Struthio camelus: one gene and its partners. The protein of the gene in region 1 purifies or fractionates together with the protein of each later gene. This does not show direct contact. Links are inferred from orthologs where the notes say so. Each region holds a gene or a part of one and is shown in the gene's direction. Other genes may lie near its edges. The genes, in order: PRKAG3, PIP4P2 and PFDN1.

Region 1 (7,530 bases):
TCTGAATATCCTTGGGTGCGCTGGGCACAGCCCCAGATATTTGGCATCTTGTCAGCCCTATGTTTCCCTCTGAGAGAACAATCTTTCTGTCACTCCTGTGCCTTAAAACAGGCTCATGCAGTGAAAGAAACCCACTCTTTTGACCTCAAGATGCATGCAACAGGGGGACTCATTAAGCAGAGTGCAAAGACTGCTCTGTTTGCTATTCTGGGAACAGACTGGTGGCAGTGATGATGCATGGCGGTGTGAGGGCAGTTTAAACTCAAAAGCACTAGGGCAGCCTATAGCAGAGCCCAGCCTGCTTGGAGCACAGCAGGGCGAGGAATTTTGCCATATATCAGCAACCTGGGTAGCCGCTTGATTGTCTTTATCTCCTCCTGCAGTGGTCATTGCCAAAGTCTTTCTTCCTCCAGAAAAGCAACATTCAATCAAATGGTTTCAGCAAACTGGAACTGGGCAGACTGGGGTGAGTTTGCACTGGCTGTGATATGTGTGATGTTTGCAGTGTAACTTTAGGACTGGTGTTATGAGAGAGAATGGGCACCAAGGAAAGCAGCTTTGTTTAGGAGGAGAGGAACAGGTTGGCTTATGGGGTCAGCCTTGGCTTTCTGTATAGCCAAGTGGTAGGGTTGATGAAGTGTCTACAGGACTGGACATGTCTCCATGGCACTGTGTGTCCAGCTCTGATGGCAGTGAGGCTCGAGGGGAAAATGGCTGGGCTGGGTGATGTTTGGAGAGCAGCTGTCGTGGGGAGGACACGGAGAAGAGATGTTCCCCAGGGGGACTTGTACCACCTCTGTGGGCTCTGGCATGGCCAGCAGTGAGTGGAGGCTCTCATGAGGTCTGTCCCCCAACGTGGGGCTGGGAGAGCCTCCCTCACTGGGAGGCCTCCTGGGCTGCTACACTGTGCCAGCTTCCCTGAGCAAAGCTGGACTGCAAAATAGGCACTGCTGGTTCACTCGGATGAACCCCCGTCCTCCATCTCTGTGCAGGCAGCTGTCTGGGCCAGTGGGACAGGCACACCACTGGTGTCTGGTGTTAAAGGGACAGGGATCCCTGCCCTTGTGCCTGGGACAGTATGCAGTTGGCTTTATGTGCAGCCAACTCTTGCCCTAATGTCCTCTCCACTGTCTTGGGTGTCTGTTGGGGTGATTGGTGCTGCCTGGGAGAGGGATGGAGTAGGGGAGCCCGGCAGCCTTGTTTTCTGAGGCTATATGTGATGGTATCACAGACGAGTGTTCTACCAAGCCCCCTTTGATCCTTTTTCATTGTTCCTAAGCAGCATGGGGTCTCCTTTCTCTTGCAGCAAACTCCTCCCTTCAAGAGAAGATGAGGACCCCGCAAGAAGCCTGGAGCCCAGCCCTACACAAAGTTTACCTCTCAACAAGTGCACTGGTGGAGCTGGCCAGAAACCTGCTGGCTGCCTCTCAGACACTACCCTGGTGATGTGATTAGGCAGCCACTGTCCCTCCTTGGGGACACCTGAACCTACCTCAAAGGAAGAGAGAGGAGCTGGCTCCAGAGACCAAGGACTGTGGGAGCCCCTTGCACTGCCCACTTGCTTGTGGGATGTTTTTAGAGAGGGATGTTTTACTAGGCAAAGGGGAGAGCTGTTCAGCTTCAGATTTTTAAAACAAAAGAAATCTCCAAATGGCAAAGCCTGGGGAAGTCTGATTTGTCTGGCCTTTGTCTTAGGCTTTTGTTAAAGCCTGATGTGGTGGCAGCTTCTCTGCTGCGTGGGAGCTGGCTGAGCTTGGAGTCAGCCCGGCCTTCCCTTTTGCAACCAGCATGGGCTGAGCCCTTGCTTGCCTGTGTCACCCTGCACTAGTCCTTAGCTGCTAGGAGCCCAGCAGAGCTGAATCTTCTCTGGCCTCAGTGCAGCCTGGCCCCAGGGGAGAGACCGGTAGCCCCAGGAGAAAAAAGCTACCCCAGTTCCCCTGCCACTGCTCAGCTCCTCTGGGAGGAGTGGGGTTTGAGACTTTTAACTGACCTGTTTTATCTTTTCAGAAAGCCTGTGCCAAGATCCTTCCCTGCTGCCCTCCCCCAGCCTCGGAGCCTGGAGAAAGCCTCAGGCTTATGCGTCACCACTGCTTGCCTGCAAAGAGAAGCCGCAAATTCTAGTGCGGCCTACTGTGTGTAGTGGGGCCAGTACAGCTGCCAGGAAGGGGGCATCCTCTCAAGGCTCTTGGCTTTTCTGGGTAATCCTGCAGTGTGTGCACAGGGGCCGCAGGCTGGTGCTGCTGTTGTGGGCTCTGATCTGTTTTCCCTTTGTTTCTCGAAGATCTCCATTAAAGTTTAGCACTCTCCGCTGCTCTCATGGACTTGACCTTGTTGCATTTTCCTGATGCATTTGGGTACAGAGGGCAGCTCTGCTTCCCCCATGCTCTGTCAGGCTCAGGTGCAGGCAAGGTTTGTGCCACCTCTTAGCCCTTCCCCATAGTCAGTGAGGGCTCCTCCATCCCGCCCCAGCCCAGGGCTCGGGTAAACATGGCTGTAGCCTGACTCTCCCCTTAGGTAAGGGAGCAGCTCCTGGTGTTGCAGCTTTGCTCTGGAGTCTGCCTTGTGTCCCAGTGCCAGTCTGCTTCTGCCAGAGGTGCTTAACCAAGGTCTGCACAGCTTGGCCAGGACTGGTTTCTCAGCCCCAGGCTGGGCTTGATCCGGGGCTTTTCCTTCTCCTGCCAGGGCTATATGGGCTGAGGCAGGCACAGGCTTGGGCAGCACAATGAGAGCCAGTGCTGCGAGAGGTATGTGCTGCGTGCTCTGCTCCCGCAGGCGTCCCCACGGCTGGAGGAGGCTTTAGTCCCAGCTCCTGGGCCTCTGCACTTCAAAGCCTGGGTTTGGGGATGAATGAGCTCAGCCTGGGGCTGAGAGAGGCACTTGGAGAGCTCCTCTCTCTTCCCTGGTGTGTAAATCCCTCCCTGCGCTAGGGGGAAATGCCAGGCTCTCAGGTGCTCCCAGCTGGCCTGTGCAGCAGGTTTTATCCCCTAAAGCTGCATGTCGTCTTCCCCAGGCTGGGCAGCCCCCCTCAGGGGAAGGGGTTGCTCTGGGTCGGTGCCAGGTGAGGTGCTGAGTACAGCTCCTGAGGCACTTGGGCTTGCAGAAAGCCCTTCTCTCCTTGTAGCCCCCCAGTGCCTGCAACTCGGTCTGTGTTTCTCCAGTCTCCTTGGTGATAATCTCATTGCTCCTCGGCTTCTCTCCAGCACCCTAAAATAGCTGCTGGGGTGCGAGCGTGAAAGGGGAGAGGCACGCTCCCTTCCCTGCTGCCAGCACCCCTTTGGTGGCCAGGCTGGAGCCGGGCAGCCCTGGCTCAGCAGCTGCCTCTTACAGCTGCGCTATGTGGCCTGTCCCCATTGCACCCTCTGTGTTGCTGCAGGGCAAGTGCCAGGCTGGGCTACCTGCTGTGCCCTTGTGCCACCCTGGCCTGAGCTGTGCCCTGGTGCTGTTGCCCAGCACCTAGTTCCCTGCCCTCGTCCCTCCTTTTCCTCCCTGCACCCCACCTCTTGAGGCAGGGGCTTTGCCCCTCTTACCCTTGGCTGGGTGCTTGGGGCTGGCTCCCTCCTCCCTTCTTGCATCCAGTGGGTATTTTGGGAAGCTGTTGGCTGTGATTTAAACCCCCCTGGCCCAGCCTGGCAGCATCTCCCACTTGCTGCACTGTGAGCAGGTGACCCCCCCCCCCAGCCCCCCTGTAGGCGAGGCTGCAGCCGTCCCCACGGGTCAGCTGGAGCCACTGTGTTCCCTGGGCTGCCGGGGGGCAGGACCAGTGGCCACAGGCCTGCTCGCCCACGGTTGCTCCCAGCCTGGCATGGCAGCTGGCCAAGGGGTTATTTGAACCTTCCTGAAATAGAAACGGAGCTGGGAGCAAGTAGAGAGTGGGAGGGGGTGGCCCAGGGGGTGGTTCCCCCCCCCTCCCCGGCAATGGGATCCCCCCCCATCATGAAACCTGTGGGGAAAGGCTGAATCCAAGAGGAGGCCAGTGCAGTGTGGGACCCAGGGGCAAGGGGACCAGGGTCTGGGCTGCGCTGTACCCCATCCCCAGCTGCACTGGCTGCCCCCAGCCCGGGGCAGGGGCCTGCCCTCCTCTTGCACCCCTGGGGGAGGTGGGGGTACAGTAACCCCCTCCCTGGTCCTGCTGGCATCCCTGGAGGCAGGCAGGCTGGGGGGCAGCATGGTCCAGGCACAGACAGCCCCAGGGCATGCGGGACTGCATCCTGGGAGGTGCTGAGTGCTGCCCCTGGAGGAAAGGGGTCTGCAAGGGGCAGGTTTTCTGCCAACGGCTCATCTGTCCATCGCCCCCTTGCATCCCTAGGGCCGCCGCCATCCCTTCCAGCCCACCGCCCCCAGCAGGTGCCGCGGTCCGGGGCGGCGCGGCGGCTCCCCCTCCCTCTCCGCGGTGGCGGGGGCATGGCTGGCATTGCTCACTGACACCCTATCTGCCAGGCCCCGGAGCAGCCGCGGGCCCAGAATAGCAGCGCTGCCCTGCAGTCGGCATGGAGCAACTCCCGGGCCCCGCTGCTCCCCAGGTACTGTAGGGGTGAGTGGGGGGCCTGGCCCGGCAGCCCCCCTCGTGGGGACATGGGCAACCCTAGGTGGGAGGCTTGGAGGGCTGATAGCCCCCTTCCCGTGGCCAGGCAGCCCTGGGGACAGGGGTCCAGAGCACAGCCCGACTTGGGCGCCTCCCCCAGTTTGCTCCAGCCCCACGGGAACGTTTGGGGTCGGGGCGGGAGGTGTTTTGGTAGGGTCACCTCCTTCCTGCGGTTGGATTTAGCTCCCTTTTGGAGCGGTCCATGGAGCTGTGTTCGTTTGTAAACATTGGCTCTGCCAGCAGGTTTGTGATCCGGGATTGCCGTTCCTGCTGCGCGTGCTGCTTTGTTATGGTAGGGTCTCCTGGGGGCCTGGTGGGGGCCCAGGGCCAGCCAGCTCGCCGTGCTGCTGTCCCTCTGCCTGGGGCTGCCTGCGCTGCTGTTGTAGGGTCTCCCCGGGGCGGCACCAGGCAGACCTGCTCCCCAGGTGGCAGGTGGGGCTGGCTGGGTGCCCAGCATCGCCCGCCCCGCTCGGGTGGGCCAGGCCTAGGATTTACACCGTGGGGGCCGGGGGAGGGAGAGGAAGGGCGCAGAGCCGCTGCGGGACCTGCTGCTTTCACACAGCAAAGAGAGGACCCAGGCGTCCGGGGCTCGAGCCACCACCCGGAGAGCAGGCTGAGCCACAGGCCGGCTGGGGCTGGGGGGCTTTGGCCCCACGGGGGCTGTCATGGCAGGGCCCTCTGGGGGGGACTGGGGGCTGCTCCCCATCTCTGCTCTGGTCCAGTCTGCCTGGCTTGGCCCTGTGGAAGGGGGAGCTGGGCCAGCGGGACGGGTGCAGGCAGCACCCTCGGGTGGGGGAGAAGGGGGGCTGGCTCCTGCTGACGCCCCCTCTGTGTGACCCCGCAGATGTCGCTGCTGGACGCAGCTGCCCGCCCGGAGGAGGAAGGTGGGTAGCAGGCAGCGGGGCGAGCGGGGCCTCTCCAGGTGGGGTGGGGGCTGGCTCACGCATGCAACGTGTGCGTCCATCCTCAGCTCGCCCCCGGCCCCCGCGCAGCGAGCCCTGCCCGTGCCCCTTGTTACCCCCTCCTGCACCCCTTCCTAGCTGCTCCCAGGGTCCGCCAGGCCCTGCAGCTGGGGAGCTGCTGCGCTACGTGCAATCCCTCTCCCCGGGGGCTGGGGCGCTCTGCCGGCCCCAGCGGGGCAGTGGAGACAGCATCTCCCCCCACAGCATCCCCTCGGTCCCCTCTGCTGAGACCTGGCAGCTCAGCTCACCACCCGGGGCTGGGGCAGGTCCAACCACAGGGTTCCCGGAGGCACCGCGCACCAGGGAGGAGGAAGAGGAGGAGGACAGGCGGAGGGGCGCGAGGCCCGTCGCCTTCACGTTGGGCACCGAGATGCTGGGGCTGGGGCCGAGCCCGGACAGCGAGTTTCAGAGCCCCGACGCCGAGGTCTACATGCACTTCATGAGGAGCCACTGCTGCTACGACGCCGTCCCCACCAGCTGCAAGCTCGTCGTCTTCGACATCACCCTGGAGGTGAGGCTGCGGGGCACCGCGGGGGCCTGAGGGTCTGCAGGGACCGGGGAAGAGCAGGCTCGGGGACCCCCGACACCTCTCTCCGTGCTGCCGGCAGATCAAGAAGGCCTTTGTGGCGCTGGTGGCCAACGGGGTGCGAGCAGCGCCGCTCTGGGACAGCAAGACGCAGAGCTTCGTGGGTGAGCGCCGGCAGCAGAGCGACGCCCCTTCCCCTGCCTGGCGGCTCGGCGGCCCCGGGCCGTGGCCGCAGGGCTGCGGGCTGCCCCCGCCGTGGTGCCAGCCCCACGTGTCCCCGCAGGGATGCTCACCATCACTGACTTCATCAACATCCTGCACCGCTACTACCGCTCGCCCCTGGTGAGTGCCGGCGCGGAGGGCACGGCGTGCCGGGGAGGGCACGGGGCAGAGGCAGCCCTCGGGCAGGGAAGGGGCTGTCCGTGGCCCAGCTCCCTGCGGACCGGCAGCTCCTCTTTTCCCCTCAGGGCTAATTTTTGCCCTGGGGGTGCTCTGAGCCAGCCCCGTGCCCGGCGCGGACCGCTGCACCCGGCAGGGGTAGGGCTCGGCGGTGCGTCTGCCCCCCCAGAGGCTGCCGGGGTGCAGGCGGGTTCGGTGCCCCGTGCCGGGCACCCAAGGGGTCCCCGAGACGTGATCCCCGTGCTCAATGAGACGAGGTGGGCTGGCCGGGGAAGGGGCAGCAGGCAGGGCTCGCTCCCCCCCTCCCGGAGCCCCGCGGCCGCCAGCCGTGACGGAGGCTCTCGCTGCCCTCAGGTCCAGATCTACGAGGTGGAGGAGCACAAGATCGAGACGTGGAGAGGTACAAGCGGGGGTGTCGGGACGGGGCACGTCGCGCTTGGCGTGGTGGCGGGCGCTGGGCTGGGGGTGGGGGGTGAGGCAATGGGACACAGGGGCGCGCGCGGCTGCACGGAGGGGTGGCGAGGTTCGGGGAGCGGGGGGGAGCCAGCCCTGCTGCTGGCGCCATGGGGGCCCCCGCTCTCGTCTCTCTCCCTTCCCAGAGGTGTACCTGCAAGGCTCCTTCAAGCCGCTGGTGCACATCTCCCCGAGCGACAGGTGAGTCCCTGCCCTGCGGCGGGGGCGCCGGCCCCGGGGCTGCCCGCCGGCTCCGCTCTGCGCTGCAGCCCGCTCGCCGCCTCCGCGAGGCCTCGACGGCCTGCAGCCCCTCGGGGCCGTGCTGGGGCTGCCCCTTGCCGGGGCCGGCTCCGGCGGCGGGGAGCCGCGGGGAGACGAACGCAGGAGGCCGGGTGCCCCGGCTGCCCTCGGCTGCAGCGGGTGGGGGCCTGCGGAGCGGTGGCCCCGGGGGGGGGGGCAGTGCCCGGGGTGCTCGGGGGTTTGGCGTGCACAGCCGCCTCCCCCTCCCTACGGTGTCCCCGTCGCCTACAGCCTCTTCGACGCCGTCTACTCCCTCATCAAGCACAAAATCCACCGGCTGCCCGTGATCGAGCCCGTCTCGGGGAACG
Region 2 (7,916 bases), on another chromosome or scaffold:
CAAAGGCATTTTCAGTCAGAAGTCTACACTAGGTTGTTACACAACACAAAGATCAGGAATTGAGAAGCATTTTCAAAAGACTTGCCAGTCTCTCAAAATATACTCTCAAATTATCCTGGATATCCTGGATACTGTATCATACATATTATATTAAACTGTGTTACCTTACATGTGACCACATATGCAAACCTATAGTTAGTTATTTTAACGTGTTAATTGTTATATTATAACCTATATTTCATATTATACACGATATCGTTATTACATTTCTTAGACTTATGTAAGGTATAAAATTATACCTTGTTATAGACTTAGTCTTGCAGCATAGGATACATCTGTGAATTAAAATCATGAGAGGATTTTGCATTTGCTCTATATGCTGCTCACATTTCCCTTTATGTTTTACAGTTTTTGAAAATTAGCCAGATCTTCTTGTATCCGACTGCACCTCATTTTAATGTAGCGGATCTGGGAAAATATAAGAATAAGCACTTTTCTTTTTTTTTCCCATATACTAACCAAGGAGCAGAAGAGAAATCAATTTACTTCAGTAACACAGGAAAAGAGACGATTAAGACAAACACCATGTATTACAAAAATCTTAGTCACTCAGTTTACCTTCTCCTTCACAGCACTGCTGTATTCAATTTTTGACATGCCTAGAAATTCAGCTAGTCTAACAATCAGCTATAGCCCATAACTAGATCTTTCAAAAATAATTTAAACTAAAATTCTGCAAGCATATTACAGTAGATTTTTATTTTTGTTTTTACTGTCTTATCCAGTACCAAAAAGGGCAATAGAAAGGCTTTTCATTGATTTCAGCCATTCTCAAGTCTGATTTTATCATTCAAAGGTTTAGATGTATAATATGACTTTAATTTGTGTTTACTTAGATTATTATACTGCCTGCATAGTATCTGAAAACTGTGTGTTTCATAACAGAGGCAAATGATCCCAGGTTTTTTCTTTCTTCTTCCTTTAGCCTTTAGGAGGAAGCTTGATCTAGCAAATAGGCCCTTTGATCAGACCCGAGAAAAACAGTATTCCATTTCTTACACAAATAGTGGGATGTTATGTGAACGTGCAATACCCATATTATGACTGTAAACCTACTGAATTTGGGTTTTTTTTTAAATTATAAAAGATCAAGGCAGTGCTCTGTGCGTTTGAACATCTCCTACCACAATGGATTTAGGCTTGCAGTCTAAGCAATACAAAATTTGGATGTTATTTGTTGCTAAATTTAACTCATACATTACAAAGTTACCCGGGAAAAGTCAGTAGAATACCTACGGACTCCATACAATAATTTTTTGCACTATGAGTTACACAGTCTTGATTTAACAAAGAGCGGTAGCTAAACTTTCTATAATGTTGATACGCAAATATTTTGCGCTTGATAATAGCTTCAAAAAGTGCAGTTTTTTTCTCATGCTAAACTAATTTAGTTCTTTCTTTTATCTAGGAAAAATGAAAAACAAAATAACCACTGAGGAAGATAACGTTTTCAAAATGAAAGAAAACTTGAACGTTATCAGGCTTTTCAAAAGGTCACAAAAATGATGCAAAGTAAATAAAAAAATGAAAGAAAATATGCCATGGCATTTTAATTTTATGCCTCTATTTAATATATTCCTTGTTAGTAAGTAATATCCTGTCTTGCTCTGCCCTTACTCATATTATACGTAAGTTCATATGCAACAGCCCAACTTTGGGGCAGGATGGAGCAGTGCATGTGTGATTTAGGTCTGCGACACAGATGAAGGCACTTTGAGAAACCTTTGGAAGATCAACTTCTCAGAGGCATCTTCCCTGCAAGTCTTGTATCTAAAATATTTCCCTCAACTCGAAAAATAATCCTAAATACAGGCATAGCCACCTTGTCCCCAGCAAAAATTCCCTTTGTTGTCAGCTGCCAGCTATAAAAGTGCTCTAACCATTATTCTGTGTATGTAAAACAGCAGTTTCAGTCTATAAACCCCTGCAAAACTAAGAATCTGTTAAAACCACATTCTATTCAGCACGGGCTTTATAGCGGAGGACCTTCAAGATTCATTGGCACCATAAACAGGTAGCGCAATACAACTACGCGGCATACACAAAGGCACACTGTAACTCACAGGTCAAAGGCGCCCAGGGGCAATGAGGTTGAGTGCACAAAAGGAGGTGATGCGCCCTGCATCATGGCCTGTGCTAGAAATGCTGTGGCACTGAATTCAAGCAGGATTTATCATCTGGGTAGCGCAGTCATGAGCAGGGCTGCTCAGGAGAGAGCATCCTTCCCACTGAACAAGGCAGAATTTTAATAGAAGAAAAATTGCACGTGGTGTAATTAATATGTATCATAAGGCATTTGTGTCCAGAGGAAGAAGGACAGGAAGAAAGTAGCAAATTCTCATTGCTTATGTTGTCTTAAATCTGGCATTATCCAGTGCTCGAATTCTTCCCTTTGCAGCCTGAGTAGCATGCACAGAGTGTTTGTTACTAGCTGAAAGTATCGTCTCGTTTGTTTGTGCACCTTTTGGTATCCTCTGTTGTTACTGGCTGGGTCAAACTAACTTGGATATTGCAGATGATGACAGCAGATCTAAACGTCAGACTGCAATGTTTTAGCTGAAATGCAGACATTTAGTTACCTTAAATACAATGGATTCAAAATACTGAAAAAGAGGCAAATGGTTGAACTATTAACTGATTTCTGCTATTTTAGAATGTTTAGCAGCTCCAGCGAATAAAAGATTTAAAGAACTCTGGCAAGTCAGATCACAGGAGCTGGAGAAATGCATTTTTTTTTAAATCTTGAGTGGGTACTTATTTAGATGACAGTCATATTTCCAATAATAGGTCAGCATGCTGGGATGTGAAATAACAATTCTTGCCTGTAAGTGCAGGCTTAAGCTGTTTGGCGGAACTGAGTTGTGACGTAGCTTTCCCTTTGCATAGCTGACAGTGATCTTAGGGATTTTAGTCTCCCTCTGAGGCATGGAACATCAGTTTAGTGGCTAGGTCCCACATAATCAATTTTCTGAAACTGCAGAATGAAATTACAGGATGGAATGGATCTTGGTGGAACTCAACGCTGCCTAGTAAGTGGCTTTAAAAAAAGTATTGTATTTTTTCGCAATCCATGAAAAGTGATAAAGAAACCTGGTTGCAAATGCCAGGTCCTATATTAAAATTCCAAAAGAAAGCCTGTGTCTACCAGTTGAAACGTGGGTATGTGCTAATAAAAACATACAGAACACGTGCTCAAGATACATGTTGACTAGTAAGAGTAAAGACCTGTTCCTAACCTGCTAATATCAGCCTAACAGTAGCTCAGCAACATGAAAGATTTAGTGGTACAAAAAACACTGCAAGGCCTAAAACTCCTCACAGAAAAAGCCTTTAAGTGTTGATTTCATCCTGAGAGAGTTCTTTTTAAGCTGACTGGAAAGTGAAAGTTCAATCCAATTTAAATCAAACAAGCACCTTCCAAGTTAGTTACAACATTTTCTACGGGAAGAGCCAGTGTGACATGGCATGACTCCATTTCCCGCACAGTGAAGATACCTGGCCTAACAGCCAGCTGCCTTGTAGCGTATTGTTCCTTATGTGGTATTTTCAGAGCTAGTTGAAACGCAGTTTATTTGTGCAGCAAATAACAACGTTTAAAAATGTAATTTTGTCCCAAGTGAGACGACTAGGCAATATTTCAAAATTTGCTATAAAATTAAAAATATTTTTAAAATATTACAATAACCTATGAAAATGCTGTGTTTTTACCACAGCATGTTTATTCAATATTATAATTACTAAAGTAAAAATGAATCGTTTCAACCTTACAGAAATAAAATACATCAGCCTCCTTTTCATATATTTTGATTATTTCTCATACAGACTTTCAAATACATCAGTCTATTCTTGTAAAGTAGTTTGATTTCCTAGATTCTATTCTTCTTGTGAAAAACTGCTCCTGCAGAAAATTTTCAATGGGATGTAAATAACAGCACTTTACCTGTAAAAATCATATTTAGGAAGGAATATGACCGGCTAGTGAAATTTCAGACTAGGATATCATCTGATATAGTTTCCCAGTTAAGACTCACTACCCATTTCTTATGAAAATGTCATTTTAAGAAGTGGACTGCACTTTTGGGATGTTAGATAGTACTTGAAAGTCATGACGAAGATCCTCTTTTATTCAAAGTAACTGCAGATCTTGTGGCATTATCACAGTCTGGCTCTGGCTATCTCTAACCTATGGATAATGGATCTGCATGACGCACGGGTGACAAACATCTGCTTATTTCAATGCTGGCTGCAATGGAAAGCCTGTTCCCTGCTCTCTGCCTGGAGGAAAGGCTATTCCCCCCTCTCTGCCCGAGACTTCCAGATGGTGCCTGAGTGGGCTTTCTAGCAGAAGCAAATTTATAAGTCCTGAAGTCCACAGAGAGTTCAGTGACACCAGGCAACCCTTCTCGGATGAACAGCAGATTTTATAGCGTGTAGATTTATCGCCTCACGTTGAAAGCGGAATTAAAGGTCACCTCATCATCTTCGCGCCTCAGTGAGTAGAGTCTCAGCGCGGCCCATCAGTCTCCCTCCTCGACCTCCTGAAAAAGACAACTGGCAACAGCAAAATCAGCTAGTACCTCCCTGTTTTCTTGTTTAACATCTCTTCTCTGACACCCATGTCCGCAAGCCCCCCTCCCCGGCCTTCTCGCCGTTTATTTTTGCGCAGCGCGGGGCAGCAGGGGACGCTGCCTGCAGGCGGCCGGCGCCGCAGCACGTCGCACCGTTAGCGGCTCCCCGCAGCCCCTTCCCGCCCAACCCTCCCTCAGGTGGTCCTTCTGTGCGCCCGGTAGCTGCCAGCGACCGCGGAAGGAAAGCCTGGCCCTGTCGTGACACGCAGGTGAGGGGCGGAGGAGGCCGCAGCCGGCGCCCAGCCCCGGGCAGCCCTGCTCCCGCCGCGCCGCGCCGCGCCGCGCCGCCGGGGCCGGGGCCGGCAGCTCGGGCGGAGGCAGCGCGGCCCGCCCCGCTCATTAGCCCGCGCCGCCCCCGCCGTCTCTCCTCCTCCCTCGGCCCCGTTCATTGCCACCCCCCTTCCCCTGCGCCGCCGGTGCCGGCCGCCGCCGCCGCCCCTCCTCTCCCCGCCCCGCCGCCAGCGAGGGAGCGCGCGGGGCCCTGCCCGCCGCAGTCATGGCTGCTGAGGGGGCGGACGAGCGCTCCCCGCTGCTGTCAGCGCCCGGCTCCGGCAATGTCACCCCCACGGCGCCGCCGTATCTACCGGACAGCAGCCCCCGAGGTAAGGCGGCCGCCCGCCCTCCTTCCTTCCCCGGCCCTTGCGGCGGCGGCGGCGCCGCAGCTCGAGCCGGGGAAGGGGCGGCCGAGGGACGCCGCGGGGCTGCCCCAGCGCGGGCGGCGGGGCTGCCGGGGGGCTGGCCGCAGCCGTGAGCGCCCCGCTGCCGGCGGGGGAGGGGGCGCGGGCCGGGCCGTTGGGCGCGTGCAGGGCCGGAGCCGGAGCCGGGCCGGCCGCGCGGGGGCGCGGGCCCGCCCCGTGGGGGGGGAGGGGGAGGGGGAGGGGGCGGCCGGGCGCCATGTCGCTGCGGGGCCAGGCCGCCCCCGGCCCGGCCGTGCTGAATCAGGCGTTTGCTCCCGCCCTCGTTGGCGGAGGCGGCGCTGCGCCCTGCGGGGGGGGGAACGGCCGCGGGCGGTGCTGCCCCGCTGCTGCGGAGCTGGGCGCAACCTCGAACCTGGGGCCGCCTATTCCTGGCGTTTGCGCTTTTCTTTTTTAATTTATTTTTTGGCGGCCCGTCGGGGCGGGGGGCACCGGGCCGGGCTGACAGGGCCCCTGCTCTGCCCCGGGGGCCGGGGGAGCGCTGGGCCCGACAGGTGCCGCCGTGGAGGAGCGGGGCGGGTCGTGTGTGGCACCCTGCACCAAATCCTAGTAGGAACTCTTCTTTTTAAAAAAAAAAAAAAAAAAAAAAGTTGTTTGCAGTTGCAGAACGAGTTTGAACCAGTCTGGTTATTATAGCTGAGTCGCATGTTGGAGCTTGCAAGGTAATTGTTGGACTTCAGTTCTCCTATTAATTAGAAGTAGGATTTAGGGAAAAGATACCTAACTATGAACAGTTAAATTCCGTACAGTGAGTTGTAGGATGCTAAGCAGTAGAGGCATGATGTAGAGAGTCAAAACAGAACGGATTAAAAGCGCAGACATCTCTATTGCATCTCTAGGGATCTTCAGTGCCCTACTAGGAGGCACCAGCTGATCTGATCTGTTCTTATTCTGGCAGTCAGACTTGAGCCAGTAGCTCTGGGCAATGTGGTACTTGAAGTCCAAAACACTAGGTTGCCCTTGCAAACCGATCGAAGGCCATGGGTGTTTTCAGCTTTATTTTTAAAGCAAGTAGTTAGTTGCAAATCTGGAATAACAACTTCATTTTGTGGTACTCAACTTTCTTGTGCAGACTTACAGAAATCATCTTGTTGATGAATGTTGAACATTTAGTAGTTGGGGGTAACTTAAATAATTCAAATTAGGAGGTAGCAATATGTGACTATACAGCTTCATAAACTTGGTCAGTTTACAAAATACAGTAATGCAAAAATTTTTTTTTTTTTGCGTTCTGCTTTCTTGAAAAGAGTTTAACTGGCTCAAAAAAAGAAAGAAAGGGGGAGGAGGGGCTGAGAGTTGAGACTAAATAAGATTATTGTAGCTTTGCTAGCCTTTTAAATGTAAGATTACAGTCTTGCCCTTTCTGGCTAGAGTGTGTTGGGTACTTCTTAAGGATTTTTATGTAGTTGTATAGATTTATTACATGTCTATGTAAATAGATATGTATGTGTGTGTTGTTCTACATAATAACAATTTCAGAATAAGCTATTTATACATGAAAATACTGTAGATGGGACTGCCAAAGGAAGTCCCACAAGTGAGCGTCTGTGTGTTTTGAGTAATCTTTAAACTAACGGAAATCTGGATCTCTGTGCCTTGATATGAAAATGTATTTCTTTCAGTGCTGTAGCTGATTTTGACTATTAACTTGCATTTGACTTGCACAAACCAGTATTATAGTGAAAAACAGCAGAAATCAGACTTTTTGTCCCCATCAGATTTTGTAGGATTGCTTTCACTCCTTAAGTTGTTGTTGTTGTTTTTTTTTTGTTTTAATTGATATATCTACCTTAACTGACATTTTCCTGTTCAACATTCTTTATTCTTAGCGGTCCTTACTCTGTAACTGATACTGTTGTGTGCATTTCAATCTATTTTAAAAGTCATTATGTATTAAATAAGTGATGAAAATGCATTAGATCAGTTACTAATGTTTGAATGCAGGATAAATCTTGTGACGTACAAACAAGCTGGCCCAAATGCTCGTTTCAGTTAATAGTTGTATCCTGTTGTGTCTCTGGTGCATATCTGTAACTTGTGTTAACTAATTTGGCACAAGTGGTATCTACTCCCTAGGAGAAGATTTTGGTACTTGAGATGAGAAGTGGCCTTGCTTTCAAAAGGGAGGAGGAACCATAGAGCTTTCTTAAATGTCAGACGTATTTTTAAAAGTTTAATCTCTTGCTTAATCAATCCTTAAGTGATTGTACCAAATAGCAGTTCAAATATGCTAGTCTGTTTTGAAAAAAAAAAAAAATTGCACAACAACATTTTGAAAAGGTATTATAGAGACCACATAGCTCTGTATTTGCTCAGCTATCGTTAGCAGCTCCCTGTCTGTGCAAGCTAGACAGCCTTTTTAGCTGACAGACAGTCTTTATCTCTTTCCCCAGCCCACGTCTGGCCTAGGGAGAAGAAGCACTCTCAAGGGGAAATGAAGTTTACTTTTAAAAATGCTTTCCACAGCACTTGCTTGTTAATCAGTAGCTGAATGTTGGGGAGCTGGAGGGGTAGAGGAAGGAGGAAGAAACCC
Region 3 (7,431 bases), on another chromosome or scaffold:
GATCTACTCTTTCTCGGAGCCGTAGAGATGCTCAGATCTGGCCCAGGCCCATCAGTTTGAGTCTGGAGGTGGAAAGCCAATATTTGCTCTTTTTGGTGAGATGCTGCTCTTACCTTATCTGGTGGGTGTGCACAGGGCTGTTCCTCACGCCGGCATGGCCCAGTTGCTGGCACAGATTACTGCTTCTGCCTTCACCTGGAAATTTTTCCAGCCTTGGCCTGGTCAGACTTCCCTCCCACGATGTTGTTTCACCTGACATATCTCCATGCCAGTGGTTGCACCTTGGCCCTTCTGGTTTATTCTCCAGCACCAAGGAACTGAGAGGTGCAGAAGGAGGCTGCTCAGGGGAGAGGCATGTGCAGTGGCTGGAGCTGCCTGCTCCAACTCTGAGCTTGGTGGGTAGCAGTGCAGTGCTGGGGGCCCAATGGTAGTTGCAACACCTTGAAACACCTCTATGCTCAGGAAGGCATAGAAAAAGGCAGACTGGCTCTTGGAGCAACGCTGAAGGGTTCCAGGTCTGCTCTCAGGCTTGCAAATCACCAGTGGCATATGTAAAGTTGGGAAGCTGGGCAGAAGTCTGCCTTGCGTGGTGGCTTGGAGCAAGCACCAGTGTATCACAGAGCACTTGCCTGTGCTGAGATGGGAGGGAAGAGCTCGCTTGGGTCACCACACTGCAGATCCCCTGGGCTGAGGCATCATTGTTCACTCCTGGGCATCCTCCAGCCTTTTGTGCTATAAATTGCCAATGACTCAGGCAGCAGGACGTTCAGGCTCCCCCGAGGAGGCCAGGCCACTGCCGTATAGAATTAGCTGCTACAACTCTTCCTGCTATTCAGTGAAAGGTTTTCCTTTTCTCTGCAGGAAGTGTTATGTGTTGGATACACCAGGATCCGTGGGGCAGAGTAGCAAGAGGAACTGGGTTACAACAGCCATCAGTGTCTCAATAGTTGGAGGTCTTAGATAGGGGGATTGAAGAGAAATATCTCTGCTACATCCAAGGCTTGGGGTTGAATCAATTCAGAGCACGTGTGGTCTTCAGAGCATGGAAAAGGGAAATGGCACGAGGCCTGGATTTGTTCTCATCTTGGGGCAGGTGCAGTGGGTTGCAACAGGAACTGCTTGTCCCTAAAGGTTGGATCTTGCATTCTGCTTTTAATTAATGGTGTCCAAAGAGGTTGCCTCCTGCCTGCCTCAGATTACAGAATGGTACACTGGGTATTTTAATTTTTGCTGCCTTCCCCTAAAAGACTTCTGATAGCCTCATCATGATCTCACCTCTTCTCCCAGCCCAGCTGGGCAAACTCCAAGGAAAACTCAGGCTGGAGGGAGTGATGGTGATTAATTAGTGGGCGCGCATGTGGGTGAGTCAGGCTGCATCAGTAAGGCAGCACAGTGCTGAGGGGGTCACCAGGCAGCTGAAACAGCTTTCTCTGCATGAAACACCATGCTGCCATGCTGACCACATGCAAGAAATGGATTCCCCTGAGGATCTCACCACGCCACCAGCATTAACTCAGTAACTCCACCAGGCAAGGACACAATGCTTCTCAACCTCCCCCTCAGCTTTTAATTGGATTCAAGATCGTCTGGCCCTCCCAGTCCCAGACTGCTGCCATGTGCCCTTACATGCCTCCTACTTTCACTGCTGAAGCAACTGCCTTTCTGCAGAGGGTGAAATGACCTGGCCTCCTTCCCTCCTGCAGCATCTCAACGCCTGTCTGGATGACAGGGCTGTGTCTGACTGCCAGGTATTATTAATAAAGCATCAGTCTGGCTCTGGTTTTAGCTACTGCTACTGCTTTTTGATCTGTCCCTTGTATCCCCCTGGCTTTGGGATCCTCTCCCAGAGTCTGGCTGGGGGTGCCTTTCCTGTTCAATGAGTAATGAGACAGGCAGCCCGCGTTCTCCACTGTGTCTGGTACAAAGCCTTCCCTTAGCAGGACCTCTTGCAGGCTTGGCAGGAGCAGGCAGGCTAGAGCCTGTCAGTAACAGATCACCTCCTTTCTCTGTGTTTCTGTAGAGAGAGATGGCCTCACACAACTATTATGCACCAAAAGGCAATGTTGTAGCTAATCATTTGACGAACTAGTTCACTTCCTTGGCATCGCATCTAAACTGCCAGCTCAGCAGAAGGCTCAGCCACAAGCTCCAGTTCTACCCTGAGACACACGAGACCCCCGGCTGTATATCACCCCCTTGTGTGACAGCGACTGTGCGCTGGCAGAGTTATCCTAGTTGTGTCAGGGTCTGCATCTGCCCTTGCATCTGGCAGCATCTACAGATGGGGTTTAAGCCACTGGTACGGCCCACCAGGACTTAGGAGTTACCCAATGCCAGAGCCACCTTGGAGTGGAGGTCACACAAGGCTGCTGTTAGGCTGCTGTTAGGCTCCTTAGCCCCGCCAGACCTCCCCTGCAGCCATGCAGAGCCAGCCTGGGTTGTTAGTAGACGTCTACTGGATGGTGGATGAGGCTGGCATGAGAACCACACAACCTAACTGTGTATCGCACGACATAGTGGGGCAGCGTGGGATAAACGTCCATCCAGCTATACCAAAGAGCTTCACCCCTGACCCAGAGGGCCTTCCCTGCCTGTAATCCTTGTGACTCATGCATTCAAGGCCTCTTGGCCAAGCTGCATGTTTGGGAATTGGAACAAGACCTTGCTTTGGAAATAGGGCGTTTATTGGCAGCCTGTAGCTGGGAAAGAGCTCCTTCCAGTGAGATAAAACAGCAATGAAGTTTATTGGAGAAAGGCAAATAAAGATCCTCTTTAGCCAGTGGAACCCACTGATACATGAAACTTCCCCTCGATGTTGGCAAACCCTTTATAGATAAGGTATGGCCACCCATGTGAACACCTGCCCCCCAGGATATCTTGATTCCCATTTTTCTGTTCTGGACGTGACTCAGTTCCTTGCCAGCCCCATGATACTTTTAGCTTGGCTGCGTAGCACTGCATAAACAGTCAAACACATGGACAGGCTTCATGAGTCCTTGGGTCCAGCAGATGGGCATCTCAGTTCAATGACAGAGCCGGCATGCTGTCCCCATGAGGGGTACCTGCAAGGGCTTGACAGCCTCTTGAAACAGCTTCAAAGCCTCCCAGGAGACTGTAATCACACACCTGGTCCCCAGGAGAGGCTGAGTCCCTTCATAGGAAGGGCAGCTCCATCCCCTCTGGTTTTCTTTTCCTGCTCTTCCAATACATTTTCTGCTTCACAAAGGCCATATCTCTCTGCTCCAACATGGTACCCCAGCTTCCTGCTGAACTGGCATGGCCAAGAACACCCATAATGGGATCAGCTCTTTGGGGTGACCTCATCTGCACACCACTCAACAAGGTCTCACTGCTGACCAGTGAGGTGTCCATGTGGCCCAGTAAAGCATCTGTGTGGCAATGAGGCATCTGTACAGCAAGGTACCTCCATGGCACAATGAGGCATTCTGTTGCCTAGCAAGGTGTCTCTGTTGTCTGGAGAGGTGTCCCTGTGGCTCAGCAAGGCATTTCTGTTGTCCAGTAAGGCATCCGTGGAGCTCACAAGGCATCCTCACTGCACTATGAGGCTACCACTTGCCTTGCTGAGGAGTGCAGGCAGCCAGGTGAGGCAATTGCATGGCCTGGCAAGGTGACCCACCGCTCACTAAAGCATCCAGACTGCCTGGCGAGCCATCCATGCTGCCTGTGAGGCATCCTCGTGACCTGATGAGACATCCCTGATGCTTGGCAAGGCATCTGCCTAGCCTGGGGAGGTGCTGATGTGTCCATGCTGCCTGATGAGGTGTTGCTGTGGCCTGGTGAGATGTCTGTGTGGCCTGCTGAGACATCCCTGCTGCTTGGAGAGGTGCAGGCATGTCCCAGACAGGTGTCAAGGAGTCCCTGTTGCCCAGTAAGGCATCCTTCCAGCCTATTGAGGTGTCCCCACTGGCCAGAGAGCCAAGCTCATGTTAGCAGCCCCCAGGTGCATATAGGTGCCATAGCAGTGGGTGCCACCAGACCCGCTGCACTCAGCCATCCCCTACCAGTCCCAGCCCTGCCCGGGCTGTCCTTGCCACAGAGAGCAGGCAGCGGGCAGGAGGCAGCACCGGGGCCAACCAAGACTGCAGACCCCCCGGGTGTCCTTGTGTCCCCGTGGCCGTGGGGCCCAGCCTATGCAGGCTCCCCAGGCCTTGGTCTGCCCTCCATGCCCCGGTTGAGGGCACAGCTGCTGGCAGGGAAGTTGCTGGGCCCCCCTCCCCAGGGACACACCAGGGCGCTCCCTAGAGCCCCCATCACTCCAGGATCCCCTCTTGCCCCTAGGATTCGCCCCTCCTCGCCAGTTCCTCCCTTCCCCCCACATTTCCCCCCTCCCCCCAGGTTCCTCCTCTCCCCACGCTCCCCTCTCCCAGCCCTCCTCCCCGCGCGCATGCGCACCTCAACGCGGCTCCCGCGCTCCCCCACTGCGCAGGCGCCGGGGGCAGACAAGATGGCAGCGCCCGTGGACCTGGAGCTGAAGAAGGTACCGGGGACTTCCCCCTCCTCCCCGCCCGGGGCCGCAATCTGCCGCGTTCTCCTGCCTCTCTACCCTCCGCTGCGGGGGTCTGGCCGCCTCCGTGGCCGGGGAGTGTCCCATCGCCCCGGTTGGGTGTTCCCGGGTAGGGCTTTGCGCGGTCCCCTGTTTTGGGGCAGCTTGGGGCCCGCCGCGGCCCCCCGGCGGCCTAGCCTTAGCGGCCTGGGGGCTCCCGGCCTCTACCCCGGCCTGGCAGCCCCAGCCTAGCCCCAGCCTCGCCTGGAACGGCCCTGGCCCCGGCCGGGCGGCCTCAGCCCCTCACCGCTCCTGCTTTCCCCCTTCAGGCCTTCACGGAGCTCCAGGCCAAGGTAATAGATACGCAGCAGAAAGTGAAGCTTGCCGACATCCAGATCGAGCAGCTGAGCAGGACGAAGAAGCACGCGCACCTCACTGACACGGAGATCATGACGCTGGTGGATGAGACCCGCATGTATGAGGGTGTAGGGAGAATGTGAGTATCATACTGGCCTGTGGGGCGAGTAGGGGAAGGCCTCATCGCTGTACTCTTCCAGACTGCTGAGAAAACAGCTCACAGACGCCTTGTGCCTACCTTGTGCTGGTAGTCAAATGAGGTAGCAGTTATAATGGTAGCCTTGCATATGGGGAGACGTTCCTTGCCTCAGTACTTAAAAGGCCTAAGGCTGCTGCCTCAGGCCAAAGATTCTTCCCTACTGTATGGCTGCTTCATGAAGAATATAGCGTGTGTGCATCCATTGAGGCATACTGGGCTTTATCTCTTGGCATCAGTTGCCAGCAGTCTTTTTTACAACTTTTATTGCCTTTGTGTGCTTTTGCTTTTTGGCTTTGCTCTTGGCCTTAATGGTCTTATTTGGACTGTCTGGAAATTTTGTAAGCTAGATTGCTAGAACAGGGTTCTAGTGACAAACTGTGTTTGCAAGAAGATGTCACAAACCTATGTAGCCATTCGTGATGGAATAGTACACCATTCCTGACGTAGTTCACGTCAAACTCTCTCAAAAACACCCATGCCCTTATGCAGTGCATATACTCAGGGCTCTGCTTGCACAAATGTTCTACAGAAATGCAATATCATGTCAATGAATGTCAGTGCTTGCCATTGGCCAGATTTTTTTAAAGACTTGTAAGAGAGCGTGAAGCTTGTTTGCAGTCGCTGTGCAGCTGTAAAGAAAGTAGTACTTTGATGTGTTGGATGGATATCAAAACATCTTAGACTAGAATTAACATGTTTTGATTAACTCTGACAACCCACTTCTGTTTGACTTTAACAGCCTCTTATAGAAGACCACACAAACCAGTTTCAAAAGCTGATAATGCATGCTTACTAAATAAACATCACAGTAACTTTGTGCAAGACTTGAGAGTACTGTGATTTTTCTGTTTCATTGCAAGTTGGGTAACAGGGATGACTATGCTTAGCTAGGGATGTGGTTTTGTGAAACACTGAATCTGATGTAACTGCTGCCAAAAGGGATGATTGTGTCTACTTCTTCCCCACCTGTGTTTCCCCTACCTTCTCTGTGTTGAAGTAGGTGATTGCGCAACCATGCAGTGAGTTTCATCAGCTTGCTGATTCAGTGAACAAGTTGTTCACCAAAAATGCCCTGGTCTGCCTTCCGTCTGACCACAAAATCTCTAGATCCAGTCTCAGAAACTGGAACTGGGAAGTGAGGAATGGTACGCAGATTGCATTTTACTGTGAGTTTTCAGATGAGACCAATGGAAAAACGAAGTTGTACCCAGACTTACGGAGATGCTCAGTGTGACACGCAGCATCCTTCTGAATTGCGTTGTATGGCTCCGACTTGCATTGTGTGGCTCCCAGTAAATAAATTTTTCCATGCAGTTGAATTAGATGTTCGGTTTGTGTGGGGATGTTAGCAACTGGTACCTCTAAAGGAAACAGATTTTTGTCCCCTTTCAAGAGGTGGAGTGACTGTAATATGGTCTGGGAGCAGGCTATAGGTGTAGAGAACGCTAATGTTCAAAGCAGTGTGACAAGACAACTCATAAGGGATTGTGTTTTTTGGTTTTTTTGTTTGGTGGGTGGGAGTCACAGCAGACAAACTAAGAGCAGAAGATAATTTTGGAGGTTCAAAAATATATATTTTAATCTTAAAGCTAAATACTTCTGTATTGAAAAATCATACAGATTAATTTAAAAGAGTGAGTGTATCAGTCTTTACGATGAAGTAAAGTAGTATTGCTCGCAAATGAGATGTGAGTGGCAAATGGTATCGGTTCCTGCACTGGCTGAATTGCATCGTGCTGCTTTCTATTTCTCTTCCACTTATGAGACACCTTTCTTCTTTGCTTCCTAGACCACTTATGCTTTTTCTGTTTGCAGTAGTTGCTGGAGTGAGTGTCTTTTAGGGGGTCATACTCTGCCTGCCTTTCCATGACCAGATAGGGTGCTGTAGGCCCTGCTGGGCAGCTCTCTATTCCTCCGGGATGGTAAGGGTGCTAACTGAAGATATTTGCCTTATGATAGCATTTAAAGGCTGGACTCTTTATGGGTTTTGTTGCATCAGTCACTATGCAAATGCAGATTAAGAGATTGCTCTCGCTGTAAATACTCTTCAGTCACTGAAGTTTGTTTGTTTGTTTTTTCTTCTTTACCTTGATATCATGGTATTTCTGAGCTCTGCCTATTCTAGCCATGGCATTGAAGGATGTCTCGCAAATTGGCATTCTGTTCTGGTAAGCTCTGGGTCACTCTCCAGTGTGAAGATCTCACACGAGGAACACAAGACTCTTCCTGTAACCACTTCTGACCACTAGCAGAGAATTTATTGCTGAAATTCAGGCATTTGGTGAAGCAGGCTACAGATACATTTAAGCAGGAGCTAATTCAAGGGCAGTCTGCTATCTTGTGTTCCACAGGAGACCAAAGGAAGTGGTTA

What was found.
Region 2: the proteins of PRKAG3 (region 1) and PIP4P2 purify together in Homo sapiens (affinity purification with mass spectrometry; 3 studies listed by BioGRID and IntAct, with this or other methods). This does not show direct contact. The link is inferred for Struthio camelus from reciprocal best matches to the Homo sapiens genes PRKAG3 and PIP4P2.
Region 3: the proteins of PRKAG3 (region 1) and PFDN1 purify together in Homo sapiens (affinity purification with mass spectrometry; 3 studies listed by BioGRID and IntAct, counting the BioPlex papers as one, with this or other methods). This does not show direct contact. The link is inferred for Struthio camelus from reciprocal best matches to the Homo sapiens genes PRKAG3 and PFDN1.

What each region holds. Positions count from the first base shown.
Region 1 is NC_090947.1:28,380,823-28,388,352, reverse strand, and holds the start of PRKAG3 (5'-AMP-activated protein kinase subunit gamma-3), read left to right. Parts: upstream 1-4,445; 5' UTR 4,446-4,487; coding exon 4,488-4,520; intron 4,521-5,426; coding exon 5,427-5,466; intron 5,467-5,810; coding exon 5,811-6,055; intron 6,056-6,152; coding exon 6,153-6,234; intron 6,235-6,353; coding exon 6,354-6,412; intron 6,413-6,823; coding exon 6,824-6,869; intron 6,870-7,068; coding exon 7,069-7,123; intron 7,124-7,453; coding exon 7,454-7,530. Other genes in the region: tubulin monoglutamylase TTLL4, read left to right, coding at 384-466, 1,307-1,451. UniProt on the Homo sapiens protein: AMP/ATP-binding subunit of AMP-activated protein kinase (AMPK), an energy sensor protein kinase that plays a key role in regulating cellular energy metabolism.
Region 2 is NC_090943.1:150,597,529-150,605,444, forward strand, and holds the start of PIP4P2 (type 2 phosphatidylinositol 4,5-bisphosphate 4-phosphatase), read left to right. Parts: upstream 1-4,893; 5' UTR 4,894-5,184; coding exon 5,185-5,290; intron 5,291-7,916. UniProt on the Homo sapiens protein: Catalyzes the hydrolysis of phosphatidylinositol-4,5-bisphosphate (PtdIns-4,5-P2) to phosphatidylinositol-4-phosphate (PtdIns-4-P).
Region 3 is NC_090954.1:23,573,361-23,580,791, reverse strand, and holds the start of PFDN1 (prefoldin subunit 1), read left to right. Parts: upstream 1-4,384; 5' UTR 4,385-4,405; coding exon 4,406-4,498; intron 4,499-4,833; coding exon 4,834-5,000; intron 5,001-7,431. UniProt on the Homo sapiens protein: Binds specifically to cytosolic chaperonin (c-CPN) and transfers target proteins to it. Binds to nascent polypeptide chain and promotes folding in an environment in which there are many competing pathways for nonnative proteins.